Oreochromis niloticus: one gene and its partner. The protein of the gene in region 1 interacts with the protein of each later gene in a pairwise test. Links are inferred from orthologs where the notes say so. Each region holds a gene or a part of one and is shown on either strand. Other genes may lie near its edges. The genes, in order: pleckstrin homology domain-containing family A member 5 and pdzd11.

Region 1 (15,576 bases):
AACTGTCAAGCTTAACAGTTACAACAAGACGGAAACACCAATGTCATCTGAAAGCAACAAGCCCCCCAACTCTCTCACACACACACACACACACACACACACACACACACACACACACACACACACACACACACAGAGTGTTTCTGAGAAATGTAAAACTTTTTCGACACAGAAAACTCTGTTATCCTTTTAACATTACAGATGAGAAGTACTGGTTATATTTTAAAATTTGAAATTCATAAATGTTTAAAATTTCAGATGTTGCTGACACAGGAGATGTACCGACCTCTCAAAATTCTTCTAAAGTGTTCAGTATTTGGTGTCGGGAACGTCAACTACTACTCAGGTGTTTCGCTCTGAGTGGTGGAGCAGCTGTGTGACTGCCAGTCTGCAGTTTGCTGAGTAAGGTTGAGAAAGCAAAGGCTGGACTGTTACAACTGGCTTTGTTTGTTCCTTCAAGTGTTGAAATATCATAAATATATTTATCATTCAAATATAATTTTACAACCTACTTTGTAAGCATGCCCCAACTTTAAGTCAAAGACCTCTAGTACACTATACAATGATTGCAGAACAGAGACTGTTGACGGTAATAAATATAGGAAAGAAAGAAAAGGTAAAGAATCATCTGGGAAAGTTTTGTTGGCATTTCAAACTACTTGCTTATTCCTAAGACATAGGCTGAGCATTCATATGATTCCATGGAGATAACTTTCTTTGTATGATTTCAATCTTCTGAATACAATTTGATTTAAAACTCACACCCTTTAACAAAAAAAAAAAAAAAAAAAATCATTGTCATAAGTTAGTTAATCTGCACACCAACTAACTAATGACCAGCATGATAGACTCTTCAGTCTAAAAACAAAGAACATGCCACATTTATACAGTGCCCTCCATCATGTTTTGGACAAGGACATTTTTTTGTCCTTGAGTTTTGCATTAGAACACCATCATAGTGGACTGTAAATCAAATGACTGAAGTGCAGACTTTAAGGATTCAGGGTCACCTGGTCCAGCCCTAACTATATGCTTTAGCAAAAAGGAAAGTTTGAAGCCTAATCTTGAAAGCAGAGATAGTGTCTGTCTCCCGAATCCAAACTGGAAGCTGGTTCCACAGAAGAGGGGCCTGAAAACTGAAGGCTCTGCCTCCCATTCTACTTTTAAATACTCTAGGAACAACAAGTAGGCCTGCAGTGTGAGAGCGAAGTGCTCTAATAGGGTGATATGGTACTACAAGGTCATTAACATAAGATGAGGCCTGATTATTTAAGACCTTGTATGTGAGGAGCAGGATTTTGAATTCTGGATTTAACAGGAAGCCAATGAAGGGAAGCCAAAACAGGAGAAATCTGCTCTCTCTTTCTAGTATCTGTCAGGACTCTTGCTGCAGCATTTTGGATTAACTGAAGGCTTTTCAGGGAGTTTTTAGGACATCCTGATAATAATGAATTACAGTAGTCCAGCCTGGAAGTAATAAATGCATGAACTAGTTTTTCAGCGTCACTCTGAGACAGGATATTTCTAATTTTAGAGATGTTGCACAAATGGAAGAAAGCAGTCTTACATATTTGTTTAATATGTGCATTGAAGGACATGTCCTGGTCAAAAATGACTCCAAGGTTCCTCACAGTGTTACTGGAGGCCAAGGTAATGCCATCCAGAGTAAGAATCTGCTTAGATACCATATTTCTAAGATTTTCAGGGCCGAGTACAATAACCTCAGTTTGATCTGAATTAAGAAGCAGAAAGTTAGCGGCCATCCAGGTCTTTATGTCTTTAAGACATTCCTGCAGTTTATAATTGGTGTGTGTTACCTGGCTTCATGGACAGATAGAGCTGCGTGTCATCTGCATAGCAGTGAAAAAAAAGGGAAGCATGTATAATGTAAACAGAATTGGTCCTAGCACTGAACCCTGTGGAACACCATAATTCACCTTAGTGTGTGAAGAGGACTCTCCATTTACATGTACAAATTGGAGTCTATTAGATAGATATGATACAAACCACTGCAGTGCAGTACCTGTAATACCTACAGCATGTTCTAATCGCTCTAATCCAGTCTTTAAGGGATGTCGTGATGAATCCTGCTTCCGGGCCCAAACTACTCTGCGTTTATTAAGGCTTTTTTGTTTTTAACATGTTTTAATGTTTTGTATCTTGTTATATTTAATCTGAACAAGCCCCTAAAAACAGTCAGTGATCACTGTCGGCCTCTCTCGGTTTTTATTACCACTGTTCATTTTAAAGCTCAGCATTTAAACCCTTACGATGTAACTACAGCCCAGCCCATGCAGCAGTATATTAATGACTAACCTCGTATTGTGGATGGATTATCTCAGTTGTTCTCCTGACTGAAGTTTGGTCCGTTTACAGCATCCTGCCATGCGATCGCATTTGTCCCTAACCATCGGGAACCCTCACGTTAACTTTTATCGAGTGGAAAAAAGTTAGCGTTCACCCTCCAGCTTCACTGTGTTTATGCTATGCTAACATAGCTGTGTCGCTAGCGATCACGTAGCACATCATTATATAGCAGCTAGCCCAACTTCAGTAACCCTACAAACGTCACTGCTGTTTAGTTTTCTGTCTTCATTTATGTTGGAAGTGATAGCAGAGCTGTACGTTTGAATGTTTCAGAAATCTCTCAGTCAGAACATGCTATATCATGTTTAGGTGGAAGCTAGCGAGCTAACTTCCTGCTAACTTCTAACTCTGTTAAATGTAATAAATCCTGTTTTCATGGATGCCTGGATGTTAAACTTAATTGTTACACCTGGTAAAGCAGCAACGCTGATCATTTTATTAAAGATGAAAGAATTTAGACAGTTTTTAACTCTCTGTGATGCTGCAGTGTTCGTTTGACTTTGGGACCTGCAGCGGAGTTTGGGCCCAGACACGGCTAATGACGTCAGACTTAAAGACCGGATAGGATATTATGGTCAACAGTATCGAACGCAGCACTGAGGTCTAGCAGGACAAGCACAGAGATGAGTCCACTGTCAGAGGCCATAAGAAGATCATTTGTAACCTTCACTAAAGCTGTTTCTGTGCTGTGATGAGCTCTGAAACCTGACTGAAACTCTTCAAATAAGCCATTCCTCTGCAGATGATCTGTTAGCTGTTTGACAACTACTCTTTCAAGGATGTTTGATATGAAAGGAAGGTTGGAGATTGGCCTATAATTAGCTAAGACAGCTGGGTCTAGAGATGCTTTTTATGTAAAGGTTTAAGCCAGCTTGAAGGCCTGTGGTACATAGCTGATTAATAAAGATATTTACAGTGTAGTACTGTCTATTCAGTTTTCTAGCATTTGGCTGAGTATAGCCAGAGGCTTGCCTCATATTCTACTCGAGGTTTGCACACTTTCAGTCATTGTGGTTCTAAACTGCTTTTAGCAAACTCCCCTGAATGAAGACTATAAAGCGTAAAATAAAAAGTTAAAATCCATACTCTTACAACCTTAAACCTTTACAACATAAAATAACTTAACCTTCTACATAACAAACTTAACAAATGTACAGTTTCTGTCACATAAAATATTTAAACATGTACTTATTTACATCATAACCACACATTTGTGCCTCATCAACGGGGCTGCTAATGACAAAATAAACTTCCACAAGCTCCGTTACAACACCCTCTCCAACCTCCCCCGACTGCCGCCAAACTGCACTGACAACAGTTATACAGGAAGTCGTTCCTTCAAAATAATAGCATCAAAACTCCAACAGGAAGTTAATCCCAGCAAGTGAATAATGGGGATAACCGCCAAAATAAGATGCAAGTAAACAAAAGTATTTAGGGTTATTTACACGGTTTAGGAGACATTCTTGTCTGCTAAGGAGGGACTTTGTTTCCAGGTAATCCAACATGTCTGCACCTCAGGCTTAAAGAATTCCTAAGTGAGTTAAATTATAAATATGAGGATATAAACACATTCAAAATGGAAACTTGGAGATTAACCCAAGCAGAAGGTGTTTGACCCTGAAAAGCTCAGCCTGGGGACAAATGACCTACCATCACAAACTCAGAGAGCAGAAATGCCCTTCAACGCTACTGATGAAGCGTGAGCTGTGAGGAAACACTTCCAATAATGGACTAATAGAAAAGTGACCGAAGAGGAATTTGAGAGGAATGTGGGGGATTTGAAGAAGTGGTGATGATGCAGTGTCCTTTAGCGTGGCTGCTCTGTGTCAAATGCTTCTCATTGTATTCAAGACTGTGAATGTGGCAGCATGAATGTTCGCCTTCAGCCGAGTACGCCACTTCGAGAACAGCACAGAAGTTGCTTTTTATGGCTTAATATCCAAATGAGCTTTTCCACCTGTAATCACTATTTATTTTGTCCTCTAAGAACACAAACAAAAAATAAATCACACTGTTCAGTTATCAGAGCACCCACCAGCTAGACAGGCTACTTACAATTTGCCAATATCTTACTTCACATTTGGATTGGTTTCATTCAGTCTCCAGAGATGACCGACTTTGACCACTTTGTCTCCTCCTGTCACCTGCTCAGTACAGCTATACTGGTACACACAATTTGCTGCATTGTCTTGGTAACTAAATCTTCAGTTTTTGTTTAAATAAAGTATAGCGTATAGCTAAGCTGAAGCAGTCCTTAATTAGTATACATAATTGGACAGATCTCAGACAAACAGGTAAAACAATAGTGAGTTATACCATTTGCTTCATTCTTTAATCTTTTATTAAACCTGTTTATAGTTTACAATTAGGTTAAGTTATTCAATGCAACTATATGTATTAGCATAGGGTCTACCTTACAAAGCAAAGTGCCTCGAGGCGACTGTTGTTGTCATTTGGTGCTGTATAAATAAAATGGAACTGAGGGAAAAAAATGCTCCAGCTCAGGTCAACTTTAGCCAGGTGGGCCACGGCATTTATGGGTTGTGAAAAATGCTCCCCACATGGACTGCTTCTTGTTGTGTGCCAAATATGAGAAAAGTATCTGAAGATATCTGAGTCTATGTCCACTGTCCTGAGTTAGTGTCTGTTGATCTCTGGCTGCTCCAGTCTGCATGCCAAATGGGTAAGATACTAACTCCAAGCTGCTCTCCGATACATCCACTGGAGCATGAATGTGTGTGAATGTCTGATAGAAAGCACATCAGTAGAAAAAGCATAGAACAAAGTGCTTGTCTGATTAGGTGGTGAATGGGTGAATGAGGCCAGTTGTATAAAGTGTGTTGAGTGCTCAGATAGAGTAGAGAAGAACCAGTCCGTTTACCATCTTTTTGACTCTTTAGATTGTCCAACTGGTGAACGACACAACAGGAGCTACTCCAAACAAAAGATAATACTTGGTAGAGTATGATGGTACCAATGTAGTGATTCCATTAAAATGATCAGTGACACTCGATAAACACTTTTGGCTGCATATATCAAACACCAGCTTGAAAAGCTCGATAGCACTCGATAAGCAAACGAAACGTCAGTAAGTAATCAGAAAACATTAGAGACATGTGCCATCCCCAACAAACAATGAAAGCCAGAATATATGCATGAGTTCTTTACTTTCCTATCATGTGAAAAACGTAAAAACGTGTATGTATTCTACAACTCCCAATCCAAGCACCATCACACACTCATGTCTCTCTGTACTACCTCTGAATGTGTCCTGATCTAATCCCAACCTCTTTAAAATGCTCTGGCTGCATTTGCAGTTATCCAACTGTGCAAGCATGTAATGCTTAACACATGGAACTGTGCTTGCAGGTTTACATGCCCATGTGCATGCATTAATACACTGAAGATGTGTATGGGTACACTCTGCATGCATGTATACATACAAATGAGCACCAGGTTTGGTCTATTTATAGAATGGCTATATTAGCTCACTGCATGTGTCAGCTGCTGCTTTCAAAATATCCACAGATAGCACCAGCAGCTCCAGTAAAAGTCAGTGTGAAAATAGGTGGAAGAAAATCAAAGTGTATCTGTGGTGATCAGAGAGCTGCCAGACAAACACAGCAAAAAACTAATATATGTGTGCAAAAAGCTCACAGGTTCCTGGAGTCGGTTATAAACCTGGAGTGGGTGCACACATACACAACAGACACACCGCACACCAACAAGTAGAGCCTGTTAAGCACAGTGGAGCAACGTCTGAGTCACCCTTGCTTGTCAAACTTGTGCCTCACTAACAGTACAGACTTGTTCTTGGGTAAATCCCTTCACTGGAGTGAGTGTGTTTATGAGACAGAGACAGAGGTGAAGAGCTGTTCAGTCACATCAGTTTTCTACATGTGTGGGTAATGATGTGTGTGCATATTACAGGCCCGCTAAACAGAAGGATTTGGGAATTCCTCCAAAAGGGCAGACAGGCAAAGAGGTGGGAAGAGTGGAGGGAATCTCAGAGCTTACCAACCACACAAAGCAGCACCCCACTGCCCAAGACAAGCCACCTAACCCGTCTCCATCCCTTTCTGCATCCATCAGTGTCTTCCTATCTATGTTTTTTCCATGCCACACATTCCAACTCACTTGATGAAGCAGCGAGCTCCCTCAAATGTATATCCTTCCTCCCATCCTGTTGGTAAATCTGTGAGGACAGGGAGGGAAAGAAAAACAACACAAGACAGCAGGAACATAAGGAACGGTGCACACAGACAGCGAATCAAACAGCAACACAGTTTTTCTAGCGTAATATCTCGTTTGGATTGCGCCCTTTTAAATCAATCCCGTCCCCCCTCCCTCTTGCAGAATTTATCATTTTGTGTGCGTCTGCCTGCTCAGTATCACGCTGGTGGAATACACCATTAATGTGCATGCACCCAATAAAAACCTTCTCCCCACGGCAGATGTGCAAATTTGGGGGCAATATCGTCTCTGAGCTGACTCACAAGCCGCACCGCATTGTTCTATAATCAACCGTGGTGACTGGAAATACTGGGTTTCTGCAGCAAAGCGGAGTATGTATCAAATGTCACTGCAGGGAATCCGCTTGGAAATCGGCAAAAGCCTACGTGACATAACTTTTAAAAAGTGTGTCGCAAAGTGTCCAGGTGGGGTAAGTGGGGTGGGGATGGCGGGGGGACGCCGTGCGCAACGGTCCGACAGCGGAGAGGGGCGACTGTTGCTTTGCTGCAGAGAAGAAATCTACCCCCGTCGTCTTTCACTTGCAACTTGTCGCCCCTTTTTTCCACCGTGACGCGCACATAACCTTTCCTAGGCGCTGCGTGCGTGCGTGCGTGCGTTTGTGCATGGATTTTCGCAGGAATGTAGAAAAAACACATCCTGTATTACCTGGGGTTTTTCTGTGCCCCGTGATGACAGCTTCTCCTGTGACTGGATGCAACCAGGTTGTACTCTTTGCTTCTTCGCTGTTGGTGAAAGAAAACGGGGGAGGGAGAGGTGAACAGAGAACCCGAAAAAAACCCCAAACAAGAATGCGTCGGAGAAAAAAGCAGTAGGTATCCATAAATCCGTGTATCCGCGTCATATTTACTTAATGAAGAATATGCGTCCATCCCGAGTCACCCCATAACTCCAAGAAGAGGGAAGGCAGGAGAGCCAGTCCGGCTGAGGATCCGCCGCCATGTCTAGTTTGGAGCTTTGCTTTACTACGGGTATGGGCTGGAGTGCGCGGCTCCGTGCCAAGCGCGCGCGCACTTCCATCCTGTGCGCGCCTCGAGGAAATGCGCGAACGCGCACAAAAGATAAAGATGCAAGCAACGATTTTGTCACAAGCCTGGGGAACCGGTGGGCTCGTTTTTGGCAGCCGTGTGACTAAACTGGCGCCGGTGAACGTTCCAGCGCGTGCTGATCAGTTAATACGTAGCTTCATCTGTCCGTCCGCACACGAGCTTTTTACAGTGCACTAAATAATATTGACACTGTTTCTTCTTCTTTCGTTTCGTATATGATAAACTATTTCCACTTAGGTCTGCCCTTCTCTGCAAATCAAGAACACGTTCCCTGTGAATATGTTGTATTGTTTTTTCACCACTTATACGGTAAATGGAGTTGTACTCATACCAGTCAGGCATGATATTATTATAATACTATTGTGAAAGAATCCAAGGAAAAATACCGTTTCCATGAAAGGGTGCACATGGTCTGCAGCAACGTTTAGGTAGGTGGTGCATGTAGGGAAATTTTCAAAAAAGGAGTCTGTGGCTGACGCCTGTTCCTGGTTTCCAAAAGGAAATGTTTCCAGTTGAATTATGACTTGAAGATTGTTTTATTTATTACAAACTAAAGCCGTAACAATGAACTCCTTCCAAAATAAGCATAACGTTCAAAAAAATTAGACATTTATCCAGAACAACCTGTGTACTCCTTAGCTCTCCATCCATGCTCCTCTTCCCAAACCACAAAGGTTTTCATGCTGCCATTGCACTTACATGCTTAAAGTGGTGGGCACCTCTTTTGATTCCTATCACAAACAGGGCCATATCATTACCTTACGTAAACATAACCTAAATGTTCAAATGTGCTAATCCTGAAAAGATCAATTATGTAACTTACAAGAATCCATGAATTATAAACCAAACATGAAATTAATTGTAAATCCAAATATAAAGTAGATATCTGACGCCAGCAGTACATATCAAAGTAATATCCACATGGGCGGCCGGACCCGAGGTTTCCTAGCAGAGCAGAGCCGAGAGCATCAGACTGTGTTTCCTAAGTAAGTGACACACAAGCTCCCGGCCATCCACGTGAAAAAAGCAAACATGATTCATCAGAACAGGCCATCTTCCTCCTTTGCTCGATGGTCCACTTCTGATGCTCATTGTTGTCACAGTCATTATGGGCACCCTGACAGGTCTTTGGCTGTGCAGCCCCATAAACAACAAACTGTGATACCCTGTGACACCTTTTTATCAGAACCAGCACTGAGCTGCAGCAGCTCGTTTCTTCAGCTGGAAAATATGGGCAAACCTTCCCACTGTGTGTGAAATATAAATCAAAGCAAAATTTAATGATTTACAAGTCTCATAAATCCATATTTTATTCAAAAAGAGCATATGCACCTTATCAAATGTTTGAAATTTGTCACGGCTAAGCAGCCGGTGTGTTTGTGGTGTGGACCCAAATGCAGACACGCGAGAGATGAACTGAGGTTTAAACAAAAAGCAAGCCTTTATTACTGGACATACACAAAAAACAGAAAAACAAGGTGAAGTGAAACTAAACTGGGAATGAACTAAACTAACTATGAAAACGATGACGTGAGAATATAACATGAAAACTGAATGGGAGCATCTAAAACCTTGAACATGACGTAACCTAAACATGACATGAGAATGAACCTGAACAGTTGAAAGCACGACTCTGTGACCTGATGTGAATCGACATGAAGACAAGAGACGACCCAACATCAATCAGAGAAAGACTTAAATACACAGAAGGGTAATGAGTGAAGTGGAAACACTGGGGGGAAACACAGCTTACGACAATGAACCTGACACCACAGGGGAAATAAAACTAAACACACTGAACATGGAAACACTAGACCTTTCAAAATAAAACAGAAAACATGGAGAGACGTAGACATGACAACCAAACTTGACAATAGGATGCAGAACACACAAGTGTGAATTACATGACAGACTGGGGGAAATGGAAAGGAACACAGGGAGAAGAACATGGGAACAGATAAGGGGGACGAGGCCATAAACACAGAGAGAGAGAGTAGACATAGAGGGCAACCTACACAGACGAAGAGATGTGGAAGAAACATAAACTAGACTAAAACTTATAATAATACCAGAAGTGAGCGTTACTCATTAGTAATCAAAAATACAAAATAACTCAACTACACCTTTAACTAAAAATAACACACAAATCTAAGAAATCAACAATAAAAAATAAACTGGAGACACTGGCTCACAGACCCAGACCCTGACAGAAATTAGAAAAAAATAAAAAACATTTTGAATTTGATGACAGCTACAGAGATAAAATTAAAAAAAATACTTGTGACAGGGAAATATTTATCAGCGAGTAGCATCCTCTCTTCTTCAAACAAGAGTCCATAAATGTTTGGGAGCTGAGGAAATGATTCGTGGGACCTTTGGGAGAAGAATGTAGTCCCATTCTTATCTGATAAACAGATAATAGCTGAAAGGTCCCAGCTGCAGGCAGGCCAGTTCAGCATCAAGACTCTTCTTGTTTTTTTTTTGTTTTTGTTTTTTTTTGCCTGTCCCGTTTGGATCTTTAGCCATCAGAATTGTTGTCTGAAGGCCAAAAAAGACGCCAAGCGGATTTACTTTGCTGATTGGATCATCATGGCCTTGCCATATTGGTCCATTTGATTGACCTTTATTATAATTATGTATTTATTTGATTTGATTTTCAGTTGTTACAGACAGGACAGACATGACTGGGGGATAGGACAGGGAGAAAAAATGAAAGAAAGAGAGGGAGAGAAAGAAAAATAGAGGGGAGAAGAGATGGTGAGAAAGGGGGGAAGAGAGAAAAAAATAGAAAAACAAACAAAACAGCTGGATCACCTGTGTGGGGATAAGAAAAAACAGATGAGAAAACAAACAAAACAGAGCAACATAATAAATACAACCATCACAATAAACTAGCTAACAGTAGATAACAGTAGATACTACATATTACATGTTATTGTGCAGTACGCAAGATCGACAGTGCACAATGTGCTTTCAGGTAGCAGCCAAGAAAGGTGTAGCTTGTGTCTGTGAAAACCCGTGTGCACACCTGTGTGGATCGGCACGCTTGTATTCAAAAGGTTTCTCCATGTAACGATCTGCTAGGGAGTGTGGGGAGCCATAGCCCCGTCCCCCAGGGCATGAAGCAGGTATGGAGGAGATCCAGGCCCCAGACATCCAGAGGCCCCAGAATACGAGGACCCAAGGAGGACCACCGGGGGGTAAATGTGCCACCCTCCTGGGAAGAGCTGAGGAGAGCCCCAAACGAGAGGTCACCCAGCAGTCACGGAGCAGAGGCCACAGGGGGTCGCAGTGACATGCCTGCGGGCTCTGCTGACAGCCAGCTGTGCCAGAGAGGACTGGGCCTCAGGCCCAGAGGCCAGAGGCCTGAGGGCACCCCACCCCCTGGAAGGGGCTCAGCCGGGCCACAGGCGCCAGGCCCCGCCAATCGGCCACCAGGAGTGAGTCGGTACATACATGAGCACCCAGCCCCAGACACCAAGAACCACCAACACACCAACGTCTGAGGGCATCAGCCACTGGCAGGGAGTTTGGTGACGGGAGATAGGCCTCCATACGTTGGAGAGCCTGAGATGTTCCCAGAGAGGTGGAGTCTAAGAGCCAGGCTGACATATAGACACAGACGAACAGGCGCACGCAGACAGAAACGTGCATTCCCCCCATATACACAAACAAATACTCGGCACTCACCCAACGTGGAGACAGACACAAATAGACACTGTACACACATTCACACTCCCCAAACATACTCTATATCCCAGGTCCGGATACCCCTGCCCCCAGAGGGGCAAACCGTACCTGGACCCAGGAGATGTAACCCTTCTCTCTGGGGTGGAGAGCAGACCGCCTCCTTATCTGCAGTAGCACCTGCAGAGTGAGCTCCTGTTGAGAGGAGACCTCCTGCAAAGATGTAACAGCCTCCCCACCAGTTAGAGAGCCCTGCAGTTGGGCCGATGCACCAGAGGTCCCCCGCACTGGGGCTGAGCCCCCCTGCACCCACCCGCCCACCACCCCGGCGACACAACAACCAGGACCCAAGGCCCCAAGGCTCAGCCAGAGCCCCAACCCGGGGGCGGAGCACCCCAGACCCCCAAGCCTCCACGCCCGTCCCGGACCCACCCAGGGGCAGCCAGGCTACCAGGCCAGTAACCAACGTCTGCCAGCACAGACCCTCCCCATCTCCGCTGTACACAGCCACAAGGAAAACACCATCTAAGAGCCACCAGAGCCCCTAACCAGGTCATGGCCAGAACCCCCGAGTTAGGTCCTCCAGGGAAAACGTCCCTAGGGAATCCCCAGATGCCCTAAGGCCGTCCCTATCCCCATATCAACCACAATAGCGAAGGCAGGACCAAACCATGACCCCCACCCCCCACCCCCTAGGTGATGAAGCCGATCAAAGGAGCCCAGAGGGATTGATCAAATGTGATGGCAGAGGCTGTATCAAGACTAATGTGATCTATTAGATGGTTTTTATATTGGTTAGAATTAAGATTATTTTTATTTTTCCAGTTAATGAGGACCATTTTCTTGGCAATGCATAGGGCCGTAAAAATAATGTGGGCTGTGTTTATTTCTGTAGTGACATAATCTAAGCTGCCCAACAAACACACTAAAGGGGAAGTTGGTTCAGACACTTTGATAAGTCTTCACATATCTCGCGCCAAAACTTCTGAACTGGTGGACAGAACCAAAGAGCGTGGCTGTAATTGTCCGGTGTATTGGCTTGACAGTGTGAGCAGTTGTTAGAAGACGTAAAGCCCATCTTGAACATCCTATGACCAGTATAGTGTACTCTATGTAGTATTTTGTGTTGTATTAATTGCAAATTGGGATTTCTGATCCATTGAAAGGTTTTTAAGCAAATCTGAGACCAGAAGTTTTGGTCTCAGTTAACTGATAAATCCACTTCCCATTTTGCAATAGGAAGTGATATTGATTCATCTGTTTTAGAAACTGTTCTGTATATTTTAGACAATAATTTGGGGGGTTTAAGATTAAAAAATTGTACCACACTTGGTGGTGTTTGTACTTCAGCTTCACTTGGATTAAATTTCTTTTTTACTATGGATTTAATTTGTTGATATTCTAAAAATCTTTTCTTGTTGATCCCATATTGTGTCACTAGTCTGTCAAATGGAATAAATTTTGTTCCTTCTAATAAATGTTCTAAGTATTTAATTCCTTTACAACTCCAATCTGGAAAGTTGATCATATTATTGTTTTGTAATATATCAGGGTTGTTCCAGATAGGTCTACGTTTGCATGGGATTAATGAAGACTGTTATTTTTAGAAACTCCCACCATGCTGTCAGAGAAGAGCTGATGCTGATGCTTTTATAGCATTCATGTCGTTGGATGTTTGAGCTGATAAATGGTAGATCTGAAATCTCGAGATTATTGCAAAGTGCTTGTTCTACATCTAGCCAGGGTTCGTCTAAGAAGGTGTGTTTTAACCATCTAAAGATGAAGTGAAGCCTGTTGGCTAAAAAGTAGTGATTAAAGTTAGGCAGATCTAGTCCTCCTTTATCCTTGGTCCTCTGTAGTGCTTTTAAGCTGATACGTGGGGGTTTATCTTTCCAAAGGAATTTAGAAATATACGAGTCTAGAGATCTGAACCAATCTTGTGATGCTTACTTGGGATCATTGAAAATAAATAGTTTATTTTTGGCAAAACCATCATTTTTATAGTGGCAACCCTTCTCATGAGTGATATGGGTCAAGATTTCCATCTAACCAGATCGTCTTCTACTTTCTTTAAAAGTGGGATATGGTTTAATTTAGTTAATTCTGCAAGTTTAGGAGAGATATTGATACCTAAATATTTAATGTTTCCAGATTGCAGTCGGGTAGATGAAGAATTATGGAACAAGCAATTAATCGGAAGAACTGTAGATTTTGACCAGTTAATTGAATAATCAAGCATCAAGACTCTTCTACTACAAAGTCATCCCTTTGCAGTAGATGCAGTCTGTGGTTTAGAATCGTCTTCTTGAAATGTGCAAGAACTTCTCAACAAACAACAAACAAAAGAAAGAAACATTGTGTGGATGGGAGCACATGTTGCTCTAAAACCTGTCTATACCTTTCAGTATTGAAAAGCTTTTGAACTGAGCACTAATAACAAGCCAAATGGCCCATATCCTCTTTAGTTTGAAGGATGTGGCACAACAAATTGTGTTTGCAGACAATGATTTCTGGAAGTGTTCCTGAGCCCATATTGTGACTTCAGTGACAGTTTCGTCCTTCTTTTTAAGGCAGTGCCCCCTGAGGGCCTGGAGATCACAGCACTCAATACTGATTTTTATCCCTTGGAAGAGTTCTCATAATCTTTGGAAAATAATGCGTAAAGATGATGAGATATTTGAATTCTTTACAATTTTACTGTGAGGAACATTATTCTGAAACTGTCCCTCAGATTGTAGGCATAATTTCTTTGGATGTCCATCTTTACGTCTGAGACATTCTGGTTCTTTAAGATACTCTCTATAATAACCATGTTGATAAGTTAATCTAATTTGTTGCAAACACTCCTCCAGCTAGTCCCTTTTACCACTTACTTTTCCAGCCTTTTATTGCTCTCATTTCAACTGAGCAATGAGCAAATATTTTTGTGAAACTGTAAAAGTCTCAGCTTAAACATCTGAATTTTTTAATGTTCTATTACAGTCTTTCTCAAACTGTGGTATGTGTATCACTAGTGGTACTTGGGCTCTCTCTGGTGGTATGCGGGAAATCTCCCATTTTTTTTAAGATGAAATAATACACCATTGTGGAGGTATGCAAAGGAGACACGAGAGTTCCCGAGGCTCCACAGGGAGCCGGAGTCACCAGAAAACATCTCCCCGAGCGCGAGTCCGGGGAGACTTTCCTTATTGCCAGCGATCACGGTCGCTACAGAGCGCTGGCCTTAAAACTGCAGAGGCGGCACGACGCTGTCACACTGATGGTAAAAACACTGCCCTTTTCCGCAGTGCCGCGATCGGTGGGGGCATGGGAGATGCCGTCAGTGAGTCAGGAACTATCGCCTGAATGCCGGAGTTCCTAGTAGCCAGGAGAATGTGATCCGCTTCTTCTGTGAGTGAGCGGTAAGCCTTTGCGGCCAGCAGCAGGGAGTTGACGACTAAGACTACGTTCCCAGAAAGTTGATTTTGTTCATCTGGATGTTTTCAGTGGGAGAAACATTTCGTCACTCATCCAAGTGACTTCTTCAGTCTCAGCTGACTGCAGGTTTCCCCAATCTTATAAACAGTACATTTAAATAACAAAACTAGCACCAATGATTAACAATGGAATGTGAGGTTGGAGTCCTGGCCTAAAGAGTTAGCCCTTCTGTGTGTGACATCTGCTTCGCCAGAGGTTGTTTGGTTTTCATGATGTAATGATGTTTGTGTCAGGGGATCCTTGGGGTGGACCAGTTTTTATTTCAGTGTGTTTTGGTGTTTAAGAGCCACAGAGACCCGGTGTTTAGAAAAAATGCGTCTCAACTGCTCCGATACTCCTGACACATATGGGATCACTACAGGTTTTCGCTTAGGCTGTCAGGGTTTGCCAGGGCAAACCGTGGGGATGTAGGGAAGGAGGACCCAGGCGCAGAGCTCTGTGTATAAGCAGTGCATTTATTTACAGTGCATGGAACCAAACAACAATAAATCCCCGTGCTTTCCCCAGACTCCTGTGTCGTGTCCTCCTTGTGCTCTCTGCTCCCGTGTGTCTGCACTCCCAGTGCTCGCTGCTCTTCTGGCTTCCCACGCTCCTCCTGCAGGAAACAATAGTGGCAGCTGTCAGGACACTTAACTATAGCAGGCATGCACTCAAAGACTAAACCTAAACTGGATGACTAACGTGGAGTCTCACGCAATGATCCCGCGTCGGTGGAGGCTTCACCACACCATTAAGTAGCTCC
Region 2 (15,907 bases), on another chromosome or scaffold:
CTCAGATAAGCCAGATGATAATCTTATTATTATGATGGCACGATGGCATACTGACAATGTTCAAATTCTTGAGAAATTCAGCATGTTTTAAATATATAACACATGCTGTATTAGCACACTGAGGACTAGTAAAAGGCACAGACTAAAACCTGCTTTCAAACCCAAAGTGAGCACAACAGTTTCCTCTGAGCATTTAACCTAACAGCAAAACAAGACTCAAATATTTAAGGACATTAAGTGTAGATCTGTCTTAAAATAATATCTTACAAGATCCCCATGAACACAAATTTTTCAGGAAAACAATTTTTTCTTTCTTCATCTCTCTAAAACATCTTAACAGTTGAGATAAAAACACATGTTGACATAAATGTTTTTTTAGGTTGTCATCATGCTCCTGATACAATCGAGTAAACCAACGCTTACTGTAGGGAAAGAAGCGAACCCTCATCAGGATTTCTCGCGCAGTTTTCAGAATCTCTACAGCCTGAAGAAGACAAACATTATCCATGATCTTAAACAGAAAATATAACGCAATGTTGTGATGAACAAGATATGGAACAAAAAGAAAACTGCAACATTTGGCTCCACTTAATCTTGCATTTTTTTAGTATGAGATCTGCTGTTTCACTGGAAGAGCAGATAGATCAGGAGGACAAGCAAAAACTTGTCCTCCTGACAAGTTTCCAAATACAGAAAGTATCTGTGAGTAGATGCTTTCTGTATTTGCACATTAATGCTACAACATGCATTTACATGTCAAAATTCAAAAAAGCTAATATTTACACATTAGATTAAATGTCTAAATATTTTACATGCTTCAACAGGAACTACATTTTTCAAAATAAAAGCATAATGTATATCTCCTCAAGCATTGCTGATTTTAAACAAACAAAACAAAACAGAACACAAAACAATTATGGTGCATCTGGTGTGTCATTATTTCTCACAGCGGTTTGATTATGGCCAGAATGGCTTACACTGTAATTCTCTTATAGAAAGTCATTCATGCTTGAAAAAAATATGCAGGGAAAAAAGTTTCAAGCCTTTTTTGTTTTGATTTTGATGATTATGGCTTACAGCTCAGGAAAATCAGAAATCCAGCATCTCAAATTACCACAATATTTCAATATCAGTTTAAACAAATTACCGTTCAAATGGTACAAATACAGTGCATTTTTTATTCTCGTTCAGTTCATGCAACCACAATCAGGGGGAAGTCTGCTGACTGACAGCCTTCCATGATGAGGGCAAACCACAGAAGGCCAGTGCTGAAAAGACCTGCTGGTCAATGCTGTGTCAAAGCATATCAATGGAAACCTGGCTGGAAAAAAAAAACATGACATGGTAGGAAAGTATCCACAAGCAACAGGGATGGCCGCAGCTCTGAGAGGACTGCCAGGATAACTCCATCCCAGAAGTTGGGAGACCTTCACAAGGAGTGGACTGAGGCTGGTGTCAGTGTATCAGGAGCAGCTTTGACATCAGTTCAAAGCTTAGTTGGAAGTTTTTCACATGAAAGTAAATTTTTTTGTTTCATTTAGAAATCAAGTTCCTAAACTCTGGAAGAAGACATTTTAGAGCACTTGATGCTTCCAACTGCCGGCAAGATTCATGGAGATGCCAATTTCCTTTTACAGCAGGACTTAACACCTGCCCACAACGCCAAAACTACCAAATGGTTTGCTCACCATGTTATTAATGTGCTTGAACAGCCAGCCGTCTCGCCTGACCTGAATCCCACAGAGAATCAATGGCACACTGTCAAAAGGAAGATAACAAACACCCAGGCCAACCAGGGCTTCAGTAACACCTCAGCAGTGCCACAAACTGATCACCTCCATGTCACGTTGCACTGATGCAGTAAATCATGGAAACAGAGCATTGCCCAAGTATTGAAAGAATAGGTGAACACACTTTTCAGAAACTGGACATAGTTAGATTCCAAATCCTTTTTTAATCTGAAATATTCTACTCATTTGAGATAGTGGACTTCTGATTTTCATGACTTATAATCCATAATTTTTTGAATGAAGGTACAAAAACAAATGAACTTTTTCGTAATATTCAAATGTTTTGAGATGCTCTTATATATAATGCTCATTGTGAGTATAAATGTCATGGTAATTTTTAATGGTAAAAGTGAACTCCAATTCCACCAAGAACAGTGGTCAAATATCCGTCAGAATAATTCAAGAACAGGACCACGTTCATGACAGGGTTAAGTTTGTTTTACAAGTATAGCCACAATGTGTGAATGAGTGTGAAACTAATAATCCAAGAATAATAAAAAGAATAATCCAAAAAGCTTCTTGATGGCTATCAAAAGCATCTGGTTGAGGTGCAACTTGCTAAGAGACATTCAACCAAATATCAGTGGGTGTGTAGGGATATTTCTGAAAATAAATTAAAAATGTGTAAATACTTACTTTATTAAATCTAACTTAGATTTAATTTAATAAATTGCCTCGTTGCTGATACTGTTGTTGTTGCAGGATAGGGTAAAAATCTCACCCACAGTATATAAAAGGGTATCTAATATCAAGTATTTTCCTGGGTATAGGTATCGATTTTTTCAACTCTTGAAATTTTGAAATACAAGTAAAACAATATGTCTGGATTATCCTATACCGCACTCCACCAAATTAAAGTTTACCCACTTTTTGTAATCGTGAGCTTGATATTGACAAAAAAATTATTATCGTGATCACCATTAAGGATTACTTGAGCAACCCCGCCTTGAATATGTTCTGACTATAGTGAAGATTAAAGAGCACAGCACAGTATGTGAAGCTATTTGTTAGTCTTGTACATACATGAATAGAAATACATCTAAACTAAATCAGATTTATGAATATCACAGTAGATTTCAATATGTAAGTGTGTGCTGGAGACAATGTGTTGAATAAAGCCTGTTTGAAATTCAGCCTCGACTTACTCTTGAGTGCTCTATGTCTTGGAAATCAACATCATTCACTGAAAGAACCTGGTCTCCCTCCTGCAGCCCTGCTCTGTGGGCGTCTGAATCTGGGACCACCTGCCAGCACACAGAAATTATTTAAATTGATTAAAAATAGGCAAACAAATAGTCAGCAGCACAGCAAGAAAAAAAAAAAAACATACTAATAACCAGGGCTGTGCACGCACCTTGGATATAAAGATTCCTAACTGTGAAGCTTTCCCACCACGGATATTGAAGCCCAGCTGCGCTCCTGGAGGCTTCTTCAACACAATGGTGCGAGGCAGAAACTGTGTGAGCTCATTGTTATAGTCAGGATGATGAACCCGCTAAAAATGAACCAAGAGAAGAAGAACAGCCAGCGACATTTAGTTTCTCCAAGTTTGCTTCTTCTGCCTTAAAAACAATGTGATGAGAGTGAACCGCCTTGTAGAATATCACATCGCATAATACACATTCAGCATCACCTGTTTGGAAAATAAGCAGCTCAGCAACAACAACAACAACAAAAAAAGGTGTTTTCATTGGGATAACAAAATCTGGAAACAGCACATTCACAAAAAATATCCACCCATTTGCTTTCTGTAGCACATGTAATGGTATTGCACAGTCCTGACATTTGCAGTCAGGCACCAACACCTCTTTACTTGTCAGATTTCCAAACGCATATAAGACAGGCTTCAGGAACTCACTGAAACCCAAACACTAACTGAAAAAAGGAGTTAAAGGCGCCAACTACGAAACCATGACAGACAGAAAAGCCTCAAGGTGACACAAGGACTGTGCGTGCACCTACAGGTTACAACCTGTATGTGACCACCTATTATCACGTTACATTGGGAAGCCCCATTCCTTGGCATGGAAGATGCCATTAAAAGCTACAAAAAAGCAGTAGCAAGAAAAAAAAACCAAGAATCTTTGTGACTCTCAGATAAACTTAATAGTATTCAGTAAAATTACCAGTAGATACTTTAGATACAGCACTGTGAAAAAGTATTTACCGCTTCCTGATTTATTTTTTTCCCATAATTGTGACACCTTCATATTTTAGAACATGAAACAATTTTTAACATGCAACAGCTACTGAAAGATAACCCAAGTACAAAATGCATATTTGATTATGATGTCATTTATCAAAAAGGCCCTGTGTGAAAAAGTAGATACCTCCTAAACCCAATAACTGGTTGTGCCACCCCTGGCAGCAAGAAGTGCAATTAAGTGTTTACAATAACTGGCAATGGGTCTTTCACATTACTGTAAAGGAATTTTGACTCACTCTTGCACTCTTTGTGGACCACTCAGAGTTAAACTTGCTGGAGTGTTTCGTCATCTTACTAAATAACCCAAGTTTGCTCAAGCAGGGACACAAACTGATGGCCATTCATTCTCTCGGGATTCTCTGGTAGAGAGAAGAATTCATGGTTCTATCAATTACGGTACATCGTTTAGCTCCTGAAGCAGGAAAGCAGCCTCAGACATAAACACTACCACCACTATGCTTGACTGTTGGTATGATGTTCTTTTTATGAAATGATTTGCTAGTTTATGACAGATGTAAAGAGACACAAACCTTCCAAAAAGTTCAGTTTTTGTCTCATTAGCCCATAGAACATTTTCCCAAAAGTCTTGGGGATCATCAAGAATATTTTATGGCAAATGTGAAACAACCCTTCTTTTGAGTCAGCAGTGGTTTTCTCCTTTCTTATTGTTTAATAATGACCTTTGACCTTAACTGAGCCAAGTGAGGCCTGCAGTTTTTTAAATGTTGTTCTGGGTTCTTTTGTGACCCTTTGGATGAGCCATCAGTGCACTCTTGGAGTAATTTCGGTAGGTCAGCCACTCCTCAGAAGGTTCACCACAGTTGCATGGCTTCTCCCATTTGTCGATAATGGTTCTCACCGTGGTACACTTGAGTCCCAGAACCTTAAAATGGCCTTGTACCTCTTTCCAGACCGATGGATGTCAATTATTTTGTTTTTCATCTCTTCTTGAGCTTCTTTAGATGATGACTTTTTGCTTTTTAGTAAAGATCGTTAGGCCCACTTCTCTTTATCAGACGGGTTCTATTTAAGTGATTTCTTGATTCAACAGGTCTAATGAACTGAACCCAAAAAATGTGGTTAATCACAGTTCATCATGACGTAACAAGGGGGACAGTTACTTTTTTCATGTTCAGGGCCAGGTAGGTTTGAATAGTTTTTCGCTCATAATAAATTAAATATCATTTAAAAACTGCATTTGTATTTACTCTGGTTATATTGGACAAATATTAAAATTTGTTTGATGATCCCAAGCATATAAGAATGACAAATATATATAAAAAAAAAAGTTAGAAATCAGTAAGGGGGCAAATACAATTTTCCGGCACTGTAAGACGGTTTTACAGCAGCCAAAACATTAAGCACAACCTATAAATCATAACTAAAGTAGAAAAGATAAAAAATATAAATATATACACTATATAATAAGGTACAAAATGTTTAGCACATGATTTAAGCACAAAGGTTAGTTGGAGTAATATCTGCCATACCTCCTGTGGAGGTATCCATGCAGGCGGGTTCTCATAAGAAGGCAGGAATACCACTGGCAGCTGGTAATCGTCGTAGGGAATTTTCTGGTCCATGGTTGCTAAAATTCCCTACCGAGAAGAGAATAACAGTTCATTGTTATGAACTACGGATGCACTGGACTGCTTGATACAAATTAAAGGGAAATCCCCGAAATCCAGACCGCTGATTTAAAGAGCTCCGGTGTCTCTACTGTGTTGTGGTTTCGGACACGTAACTTCAAGTCAATATAATGTCAGTCCCTATTCCATGACTGTAATGCCTTCATTCACCGGGGTTTGGCATTAATGTACCCACATTATTACACCCGGTTTTGCATGTATCATTTTTAGATAAGGCATAAAGAGCAGAGAAGACCAAAACATCAGCTAAAAACACAGCTGCGTTCACAACTCTGTAACAGGTTAGCCACCAAGTCCGAATAGGGACGTTATATGGCTAACACTTAGAAATATCTTCTAAAAAAAAAATACGCATGTGGATCAGGGGAAAGAAGCGAGATAAAATAAACGTGTGAAATTATCTCACAGTGGACAGTTTCATATGGTAATAACACGCAAACGCATCCCGAGCTAGCACCACGATTAGCTTACTGTTTAACTGTAAACGAGCTAGCTCTGCTCTATTAAACAGGAAACACTTTGACACGCGCTATTATTATCACAGGAACTTTAAAATAAATGCACTTGGATCATTTAGCATTGAAAAACATGAATGACTGCAACAAAACAACAAAAAATATATCTCACCTGCCAGTCAGAGGGCTAGCAGTGTAAACTTGCTGCTGTAAGCAATTGCAGGCAGCTATAGTGCGTTATCGCCCCCTCCTGGTGTGGAGTAGTTACTACAAGACGTCCGACAGCACTGTGGCGTATTCGCGCTTTGAACAGCTACAAAAGTCAAAGCGCGTGAATTCGTGGATTGGTGACTCGAGAGGGCGCAATTGAACAGCTTTATTCACTGATTACAGAGGTCCTAATCACAGAGTTGAAGTTGTAAGTAGCTTAAAAAGTGAATAAATATGAGTACAAATTTAAATTACAAGTTTTTGTAATACTTTTTGCAATTGTAAATGTGAAAAACAAGTGTGTGAAAAAGTTACAAGGTTAACAAAAATTCTACATTCTCACATTTTATTCTACAAGCTCTCACGTTTTGCTGCATATCGACCTCCTGAAAGCTCTTGCAGATGGAGAAACCTAATGGCGGCTAGCTGGAAAATCAACCGGGAAGTCTGTAAAACACTTCTGTGATATCTTGCAATTTGACCAAAAATATATTTTCTTTGTATTGATTTGCACATTATCCAAGGGCCTTCTTCAGTTCTAAAAGGTGGAGAGTCTCAGGTATTTGACCCCTAGTGGTGGTTGACCCTGTGGGGGTAGTTGACCTACTAGTGATCATATGCATCATCCTATCAGCCAAATTTTTAAGACTGCCATGATCTGGATGACTGAGAACCTACACAGACATATTTATTATGTTTGCTCATCATTTATGTCCCTGTCCCGTGTCCGGATAGTCATATTCTTACATATAATTTTATGTGGGGAAAAAATGATCAGAAATTAAGATCACGCACGTCCTATATGTGAACTGTGACTTATATTCCTTATATGCTGCAGTTGCATATGTTTGCATTTCTTTCTAACTTAAGCAGAAAGAAAACCAAGTGAGAAATGTGTGTTGCGAAATGTGCCCACGTTGTGTGAAAGTTTGTGTGAAGTTGCTTTGCAGAAACTTGACGCGTGATATGGGCTCCATTATGTTAAAGCTTTATAGTGCATACTCTGTAACTGCATTTATCATCTTCAGCCAAATAGTGAAGCGTGAACATTTTTTTATTATCGCAGATCAACAATGGCTTCAGCACTCAGAAATGACTTTGACGATGGTAAATCATGCACAGTGTTTACTGTTCACCGAGCTTGTTTCAGAAGGCTTCAGGTCTCTGCAAGTTGCACATTGCAATTAAATGAAATGAAACCTGTGTTGACAGATTGGAATGAAAAACACAGAAACTTCGCAAGATAGATAAACAAAACTATGGCAAGTTTTTTTCAGTTTTTTTTGTTTTGTTTTTAAATATGTCAGCATACCGAAACCACTTTCAAGAGTTCCATTGTTGCTGGAGCATTGCTGGAGTACTACTATAACCAAAGTAACATTAAATAAAGTCATAGTAAAAAAAGAAAAAAGAAACTCCACCTTCTGTCAATTCTAAACTTTTATATATCAGGACATAATCAAAATCATCTATTTCCTACCAAAGTCTTCAGATTAGGTCAATACAACGGGAGATGAGCAACAACAAAGGATCTGTTATAGCGTGTCATTGTTTATTTAAGAGAAAACTAAGCCAATGTGTAGAAGCAGTGCGTGAAAAACTAAGTACGGGGTCCATACACAAAAGTGGTGCTGAGGATTATAGCTAAGCATCTCTTTGGTCTCATCTCTCCAAAGGACATTGATCAAGAAGCCATGTGCTTTCATCAAATGCAAATTTGAGAACTTGAGCCCTGCGATCATGTTTTAGGTTTTTGGTTTTTAAGTGAAGAGACTTTCTCCTGGAGATCCTCCCCCACCCCAAAAAAACAGACTTGTTCAGTTTTTTTAATTGTACTGTCAAGATTTTTAACATTTAACTTGCTTACTGAGGCCTATAACGTCTGAGATGTAGCTCCAGGGTTTATTGCAGTTTCTGAGTACCCCGCTGTCTGGATTTCAGGTGAAATTAGTCAGACATCACTTCCTGGGACGATTGGCAGCCGTCTAGAATGTTTTTCACCCCTGAATAATCATTCTCACTATAGAATGATGGGTTTCAAATTGTTTGGAAATGACCTTGTAACCGTTCCCAGACTGAGCAAGAATTTCCTTTTTCAGGATCATCACCGATGTCTTTTTATATTGACATTGTGTTAACACACACCTGGAGGCGCCATACCAGCAAACTGCCAAAAACTCTGTTTTATAGAGGTGCTTAGATTTTTACAAGGATCAATAAATCAAGTGCGTTTGATTAGCAGCACCTGGCAGCTATTTTAAGTCTTGATTCCTGTGAAAGCAGTTAGGGCATGCTGAGTTTTTCACACGCTGCTTCTTGCATTTTGACCAAGTTTTTGTTAAATAAGTGACAACACAGAGTAAACGTCATGTTTTGTTGATTATCTGAGGTTATGCTTATCTAATTTTTGGACCAACTAAAGACCACACATTTTAATTTTATGCCCTGATGTGTAAAACCTTACATGTTACAGCGAGGGTGTCCTTTCCATTTACCATCAGAGTACATTATGCCTGCGTGACTTAGTTCTAACACTGCTGTAAAAATCAGATATTCTGATTTTTACTTGAGAAAAGGTACACCATCCAATACAGGTTTTTTCAGTTTGACTAATTCTCAAATGACTGTTGAAGTTGTCAAAACAGTACATCATAGTTGACAGGATTTCGTTACTCTTGCACAACTAAAAGTACATGAATCATTCTTTATGGCACACGTGTCTACAATTTGATTTTGTCTTTAAAAAGATTTTAAAAAATCTTTTTTATAAGATAAACGGTTATATTCTCCAAAATTATATTAGAATTAGTTTGTTGCTCAAGTCATGAGGTGCAGAATATTCCATCAAACTGTAAAAAATTTGCCAAGCTGTACACAAACGACATGGATAAGGAGTGGTCATCGTAATGTTTCCAGTTTCATGTTCATATTAAAGCAGCTTTCTTTTACAAAAGGTATCCATGCAAAGATACAAAAATTAGTATAACCAGCTGACAGGTAAGGTGGCACAAGAGGTCATGACAGCATACGGCCTCATAGAAACCCAAGTACAAGGTGCACATATTTTGTATCAGAGCTGGAATAAAGACTGTTCATGCTGTGTTTTGCTTTTCCACAGGCTTTGCTTTCAACGGTGACTTTATTTTTCCACAACAGGAGTGAAGTCTACTAAACTCATATGTTTGTGTTCCAGGTAAAACTCCCATAAGAAGGGGTGGAATTTCCCACATCACCCACATGCCGTCCAGTTATTTCGCAGGTATAAACATCAGGTAAAACATATTTATTTAGCTTGACATGTACGCGCTCACTCATATAAATATTTTACAGGGGCAATACGGAGGAGGAAGGATTAGCACATGTAGGAGTGTGGTTAATGAAAGATAGATATATAGAAAGATGCACATGAATGAAGAGGATGGTTCTTCTTCTGTTAGAATGTAAGTTAGAGCATTATGTTTGAGGTGGTGAGAATCTATGGGCAAACATGCTTGCACAGCATGATGCCCTTACTACATACTGAACATAGTTATATGTTGTTTCACCTCTCCCCCTTTTTTTTTTACTGACAGTTAAGAACTCACATATCTTTCTGTTCTGTGTGAGTAAATGCAGTAAAATGCAAATGTTCTTCTTTTTATTGCAAACAAATTTTTTTTTAAAGGGCATGTTTTCTTTAAATCAGCATCTGAACACTATTCAGCTACAGAGCAGGGAATCCTTAGAAAAAAGAGAGTTTGGTACAGCAGGCATTCAAAATGTCACACATGCAATGGGAAGTATAGTCCACTGATTCTGACATATGACAGTAACTCACTAATTGACTCAGAAACTACAGCGTGTTGATGAATAGATAACAAACAGGGGAAAAAACCCGAAAGAATCGAAAACAATCTGGCATCAGATAGCCTTTTTCAGGATGATGCATGGGTCATGTATATCTGCGCATTATACAGTAACTGTTGATGCATCCATACATAAATAAAGATGATGTTGCAGCTGACCAGCTAGATCTTCTTTTACCCCTTTAAGATTTGTCGATTAGGCCCATATATACGTAAAGAAATTATCATAAAAAACAATCTAAAGTCACTTGTCACCTGTAGGTGAGGAGCCTCCGGGCTGCTTCAGGAACAGCGCAGTGCGAGTTTACTGGAAATGGGCTCGTTTACAATAGGAGCAGATGATGAAACACAAAAGACAATTCACCTATATTCATATATAAATTATCTGAGGACTATTTAAATATATTATGTCGGTTCGTATTATCTCTTTTTTTCTTTTTTTTAATGTCTGGGTACCTAGAAAAATCATAATCAGAAACTGGATGAGGCGTGGCCACGGCGCGGACGCCCTCCAAAAGGTTGTGCAGGTATTCTCTCACACTATCTTTCCTCACTTTGGCGGTACACCCCTAGCCCGTCCCTATTCATGCACCCCATTTACATTCAGCCCACAGACTCACGGCAAGTAAACGGGATGGTGGAAAGAGAGAGTGGCGGCAGAGGGGCTTTTCCAAGACCGGCGCGTCTTTGCCAGTTCGCAGCGTGCGCCGATCTCCGTGACCTAGATTGACTGGTGAGTCGGTTTGAATTTGTCGGGAAGCTTACCGCATGGGTTTTATTGCGGCAGACAGACAGAGAGATTGGTTTTTGTTCCGAACAACGTGTTTAAATTAAATGTGCGCACACACGTCTCCGATCTTAGAAATATATAAGACAATACCTGCACAGGTACATAGTCTGTATTATGCAAACTTTCTAGTTTTCAGAAGTGTTTTGTACAGAATGCAATAAGCTGCTGGAGTAAAGCGCTTGCAAATGTGAGCAAGCGCTCCAGATCCAAGCGAGCACAAGAACGAACTCACAAGATGAAAAAAGTGCAAATATAACTACAGCGGTTCACAACTTCTGACTACATACTATTACTACAGATGTGTGAACTTGGATTTATACAAACCGTTTATTCCATCAATCCAGAAGACGTTGAATAAGAAATAGGCATGTGTTCAATAGGACGCATGGTCACCAAACAGTGACCTTCATGGACAGGTGTATAACATGTTGATATCTAGGTTAAAAACAAGCATTTTGGAAGAATTTTTACATGGAGACAACAGCAGAGTAATAGGATCAGATCTAATTTTAATTAGTGTCCTGACAGATAGATGTTTTAAAAACGACAAGCAACTTATTCGTGTAAATCAGTGCGTAGGAAAGTGATTAAATATATAATTGTTTCCCCCTCCGGATTCAAAGGATGAATCAGTTTATGAACAAAGCCCCGCGGACCCCACAGACTCAAGCGAAATCATTTTGCCTGTTGAGTCATCTTGAAATCATTGACTTAGCATCAGTTCCACAGTTTCATTAAGCCACCACAAACATAGATTTCTCCTTGTAAAGTGCCATGCACCTGACTCTTTTGTCTTGTTTTGGTTTGTGAGCACTCAGCTAATATAATGAAGTCTGAGTTTGTCTTTCCGGCGTTTATTGTTCAGTCTTTTTGTCAGCATATTCCCCTATCCCTTTATCCTCGGTTTCCCCTGTTGTTCTTCTGAGGAGCTTTAGTTGTCTGTTTTCTCCCCGTACCATTGTGAGTCATGCTTTAGTTTGTGTGTGTGAACTATATTTTAATCCTAGATTAGTATTTGTGGAGTTTACTATTTGTGCTGTTTCCCTCAGTTATCTGTTTCTGCGTTCCTTTGTCATTATCTCTAATTTTTGAGTTTCACTTCCCCGTCTTGATTGTCTGATTGCCGTCACCTGTCTCTCCCGCATCAGCCTTCTTTTCTCATCATGTCATCTGTGTATTGCCCTGTGATTTCTGGTTATATTTCTAGTATTTATTTGATTCCCTCTTTGGCAATTGTCAGGTTTGTTATTTGCTTGTCTGTCAGACTTAACATCAGCCAAAATAATAATACACAGTCTATGATTGTGACACTTCACACTGAAAACCAGCAAGATGAACGGAACAGTTAGGACCATCCAACATTATTCCCATACTGTGTGAGACACATGGGAAATATCAAATAATATCAGAGCATTTTAAACAGCACTTTTTTTAAGATGTCAGTAATAAAATGAAAACTCAAACGTAGATAGAAAAAATATATAATTAAGGGGGCATTAAAATGGTAAATGGCCTGTATTAAAATCACACATCAGATCTGATGAATGAAACATTCAAGCTGAAAGCAAAATGATGTCAGTGGAAACCAAATCCAAATCAGTATTAACATTTTTCAAGTGTTCTTGTTTTTGAGCAGTGCAAGATTGCACAACTGGCTGACCTAAGTTTAGAACTAAATCTATTTACGTCTTATTCATAACTTCTGCCAAAATTTGGTTCCTGAGTTGCGTGACTGTTGAAGTGGGTCGCTGAGAGCTTATAAATCAGACTTAATAAAATGTTGCATTATTAGCCTTTTTTCCTGGATATAAATTGAAATAGAAATGATAGAACTAATAAAGGAAGCCCAGTAAAGAAGTGCATAAATCTTTGTCCAAAAAGGAAATAAAACCTACAAAGATGAGACAGATCATAGACAGTGAGAGTGTGAAAGCAATAAGTGATAGTGTTTGTTTCTTTTTAATATTCTTCTTAATCTGTATCTAGTGGGGTAAAAAAAAAAAGGAATCTTTATAAACAATTACCTGAAAATTTCACTCCTCATCAGTTTTTTATTAATGGAGCATGCTCACGTCATTCGTGTGCCTAATTGCAGTTTACATTATAACAGTGTAAACGTTGGTTAAACAAATTGGAGAGGTGTGTCTGACCGATATCATTAAATCTTCCAAACAATACAGGTGGCAGTGTGCGCTGTGGATTTCTTGGGGTTTATCCACCATGAGAGGATTTCCTTGTAGTCTGAAGTGGCGCTTAGTATAAGGTTTAGAGCAGCAATAAAAATGCCATAAGATAAACAGCGATAGCTTCCAGTTACTATATTAGGCAGGGGCATGAAAAGGACACTGTTTTAAGGAACTCAGCTGTGACTTTCAGTTATCCTTTGAATTTAAGTGACATTTTTGTTTCTTTAGTCACAAACTGATGGCGTGGTTGGTCACATATTACGGTTATTGCTCAATATTTAGCTCATAACTTCCTGGTAAAGCAAGTGTCTCTGGAGTGAAACAAGCCTTCTTACATTTCCATGTCACAATTAGACCTGTGGATCTGTCCAAACAGGCTCTTGTTGGCAACTCTGTCCTAATTTCAGAATGCTGATTGCAGTGTGCCATTTTCTTTTACAGAATAATTTAGAGTGATTTTTTTAGGTTTCATTTTTACTACTTAAAGTTTATTATGCTCTCACCTTGAACATGTTTGTCACCTCATTGTAAAAACAAGAAGAACAATTCAGGTGAAGAAATATTTGGCAAAACTCCAGGGATCTAGTTTAACAAGGAAGAGTTGGCTGTGCACAATAGAAACCTTTATTGTTCAGTGTTTCAGTGGGTGACATTGTGTGTAAATTCCCATGTCTTTCAAGAAAGGGGACCAAAGCCTGACACAACTGTAGAATGATAAGCCCCAACATGTTGACGGAAATCTTGCTGTGACCCGTTCACAGTTTACTTCACTTCAATGTAAAAGTGTCTGGCAAGCCAAACCATTTTTATTTCTGTCATAGTTTATGTCATTTTCTTTTTCATTCTTTCCATTTGTAAACTATTTGTCGTCTTCACTTTATTTCCTCCTCTCTGCGCATGGCTGTGCCTGTCACCGTGTCCAATAGTCTGACTTCACTCTCAGGCCGGTCTGTGCACCACTTTCAATACCCCATGGTGTTGGCCATTGTAAATGCAGCCAGTTGCTATTTTAGACACAGGCTCTATTGAGGGGTGGGAGTTGGGGGGGTGGAGGGTGGGGGGGGGGGTTATTGGGGTTACAACTAAAAGTACAAACATCAGCTAAAAAGAATCATTCTTTATGGCACACGTGTCTACAATTTGATTTTGTCTTTAAAAAGATTTTAAAAAATCTTTTTTATAAGATAAACGGTTATATTCTCCAAAATTATATTAGAATTAGTTTGTTGCTCAAGTCATGAGGTGCAGAATATTCCATCAAACTGTAAAAAATTTGCCAAGCTGTACACAAACGACATGGATAAGGAGTGGTCATCGTAATGTTTCCAGTTTCATGTTCATATTAAAGCAGCTTTCTTTTACAAAAGGTATCCATGCAAAGATACAAAAATTAGTATAACCAGCTGACAGGTAAGGTGGCACAAGAGGTCATGACAGCATACGGCCTCATAGAAACACTGTATCTACACCCAAGTACAAGGTGCACATATTTTGTATCAGAGCTGGAATAAAGACTGTTCATGCTGTGTTTTGCTTTTCCACAGGCTTTGCTTTCAACGGTGACTTTATTTTTTCACAACAGGAGTGAAGTCTACTAAACATATGTTTGTGTTCCAGGTAAAACTCCCATAAGAAGGGGTGGAATTTCCCACTATTTCCCACTTGCTATTTTAGACACAGGCTCTATTGAGGGGTGGGAGTTGGGGGTGGTGGAGGGTGGGGGGGGTAATTGAGCAGGGATTGCCTTAATACCCCAAAGAAAGTTCGCCCATCACCCCCTCATTTGCTTTCTGTCACAGTCGCCTTTTTCTTTTCCCTCCAGCACACCACAGGATTGGTGAGATCAATCAGCCCAAACTTCGTCACTGCATCCAGAGAAAAGCATTAGCTTCTTCAGTGTCCGCACGGCACAAAACCAGATCTGCGTTTCCTACGCTTGTGGATGAGGAGGAGAAATGTTGTGTCAAGTCTGTTTGTGCTGCCTGTTCTTCAGCAGGGGCTTTTATAGCTGCCGCTGGACGGAGTCAAAAAATCAAAACAGAAAGGTAGTTTTAATATCTGTTTTCTTCTTATGATAAGTCACAGTTTTCCTTTATCTCTCTCCAGGAGTGTCTAATGTTTAAATAACCATGTTTTATTTGATTTTTTTAGGGTTTTTTGTGTGGTTTATTTCCATTCAACCTTTATAAATCCCAGTAATCCGAGATTAAAATTTCGCCTGACTGAAATCCGAAATATAAAATGCTGCTTTATGAACTGTTGCATTGTAAACCTGATACTTTTATTGCAAAACAGTCACTGACAAATTGTTAGGAAATATAAACACAATAACCGACGTGGTGATTGCATTTCAAAAAATTCATTTATGTGCCAAGAGAAACAAATAAACTCACAGGCCCTAACAAGCTATGTACTTATATGAAAGGCGAGGGGAGGATGCAGGAGCTCTGTAAAACTGTGAGAGAAATGACACTTGAGGTGTGCTGTTGGTGGTGATGGTGGTGGTTGGGAGGGGGTGGTGGGGGCGCTGGGGTTGTTTGTGCCGAGTTCTCACGAGACAGTGCGGGCAAAGCACTCCACCAATTATGAAAAAATGTTGGATTTGTTCCATTGTCTCACTTTAAGCTTCCATTGGAATTTGTGCCCACATCGACACACAGGGACAGCTCTCTGGACAACTACGCAATTTTTTTTAAGGCTTCAAAAATGAAATCAATGAATCAATCAGTAATCAATTTTCCTCCTTTTCTTTTCATTTCAGGGCAGATGGTTGTCG

Evidence for each region.
Region 2: the proteins of pleckstrin homology domain-containing family A member 5 (region 1) and pdzd11 interact in binary tests that used the Homo sapiens proteins (3 or more experiments, as listed by UniProt). The two-hybrid records come from large-scale screens. The link is inferred for Oreochromis niloticus from reciprocal best matches to the Homo sapiens genes PLEKHA5 and PDZD11.

Annotation. Positions count from the first base shown.
Region 1 is NC_031981.2:426,140-441,715, forward strand, and holds the start of pleckstrin homology domain-containing family A member 5, read right to left. Parts: upstream 7,683-15,576; 5' UTR 7,642-7,682; coding exon 7,472-7,641; intron 7,347-7,471; coding exon 7,270-7,346; intron 6,566-7,269; coding exon 6,508-6,565; intron 1-6,507.
Region 2 is NC_031966.2:19,888,870-19,904,776, forward strand, and holds the start of pdzd11 (PDZ domain-containing protein 11), read right to left. Parts: upstream 6,412-15,907; 5' UTR 6,273-6,411; intron 6,098-6,272; exon of another isoform or gene 5,687-6,097; intron 5,595-5,686; 5' UTR 5,580-5,594; coding exon 5,487-5,579; intron 3,286-5,486; coding exon 3,145-3,285; intron 3,035-3,144; coding exon 2,936-3,034; intron 512-2,935; coding exon 424-511; intron 1-423. Other genes in the region: glycerophosphoinositol inositolphosphodiesterase GDPD2, read left to right, coding at 15,087-15,176, 15,893-15,907. UniProt on the Homo sapiens protein: Mediates docking of ADAM10 to zonula adherens by interacting with PLEKHA7 which is required for PLEKHA7 to interact with the ADAM10-binding protein TSPAN33.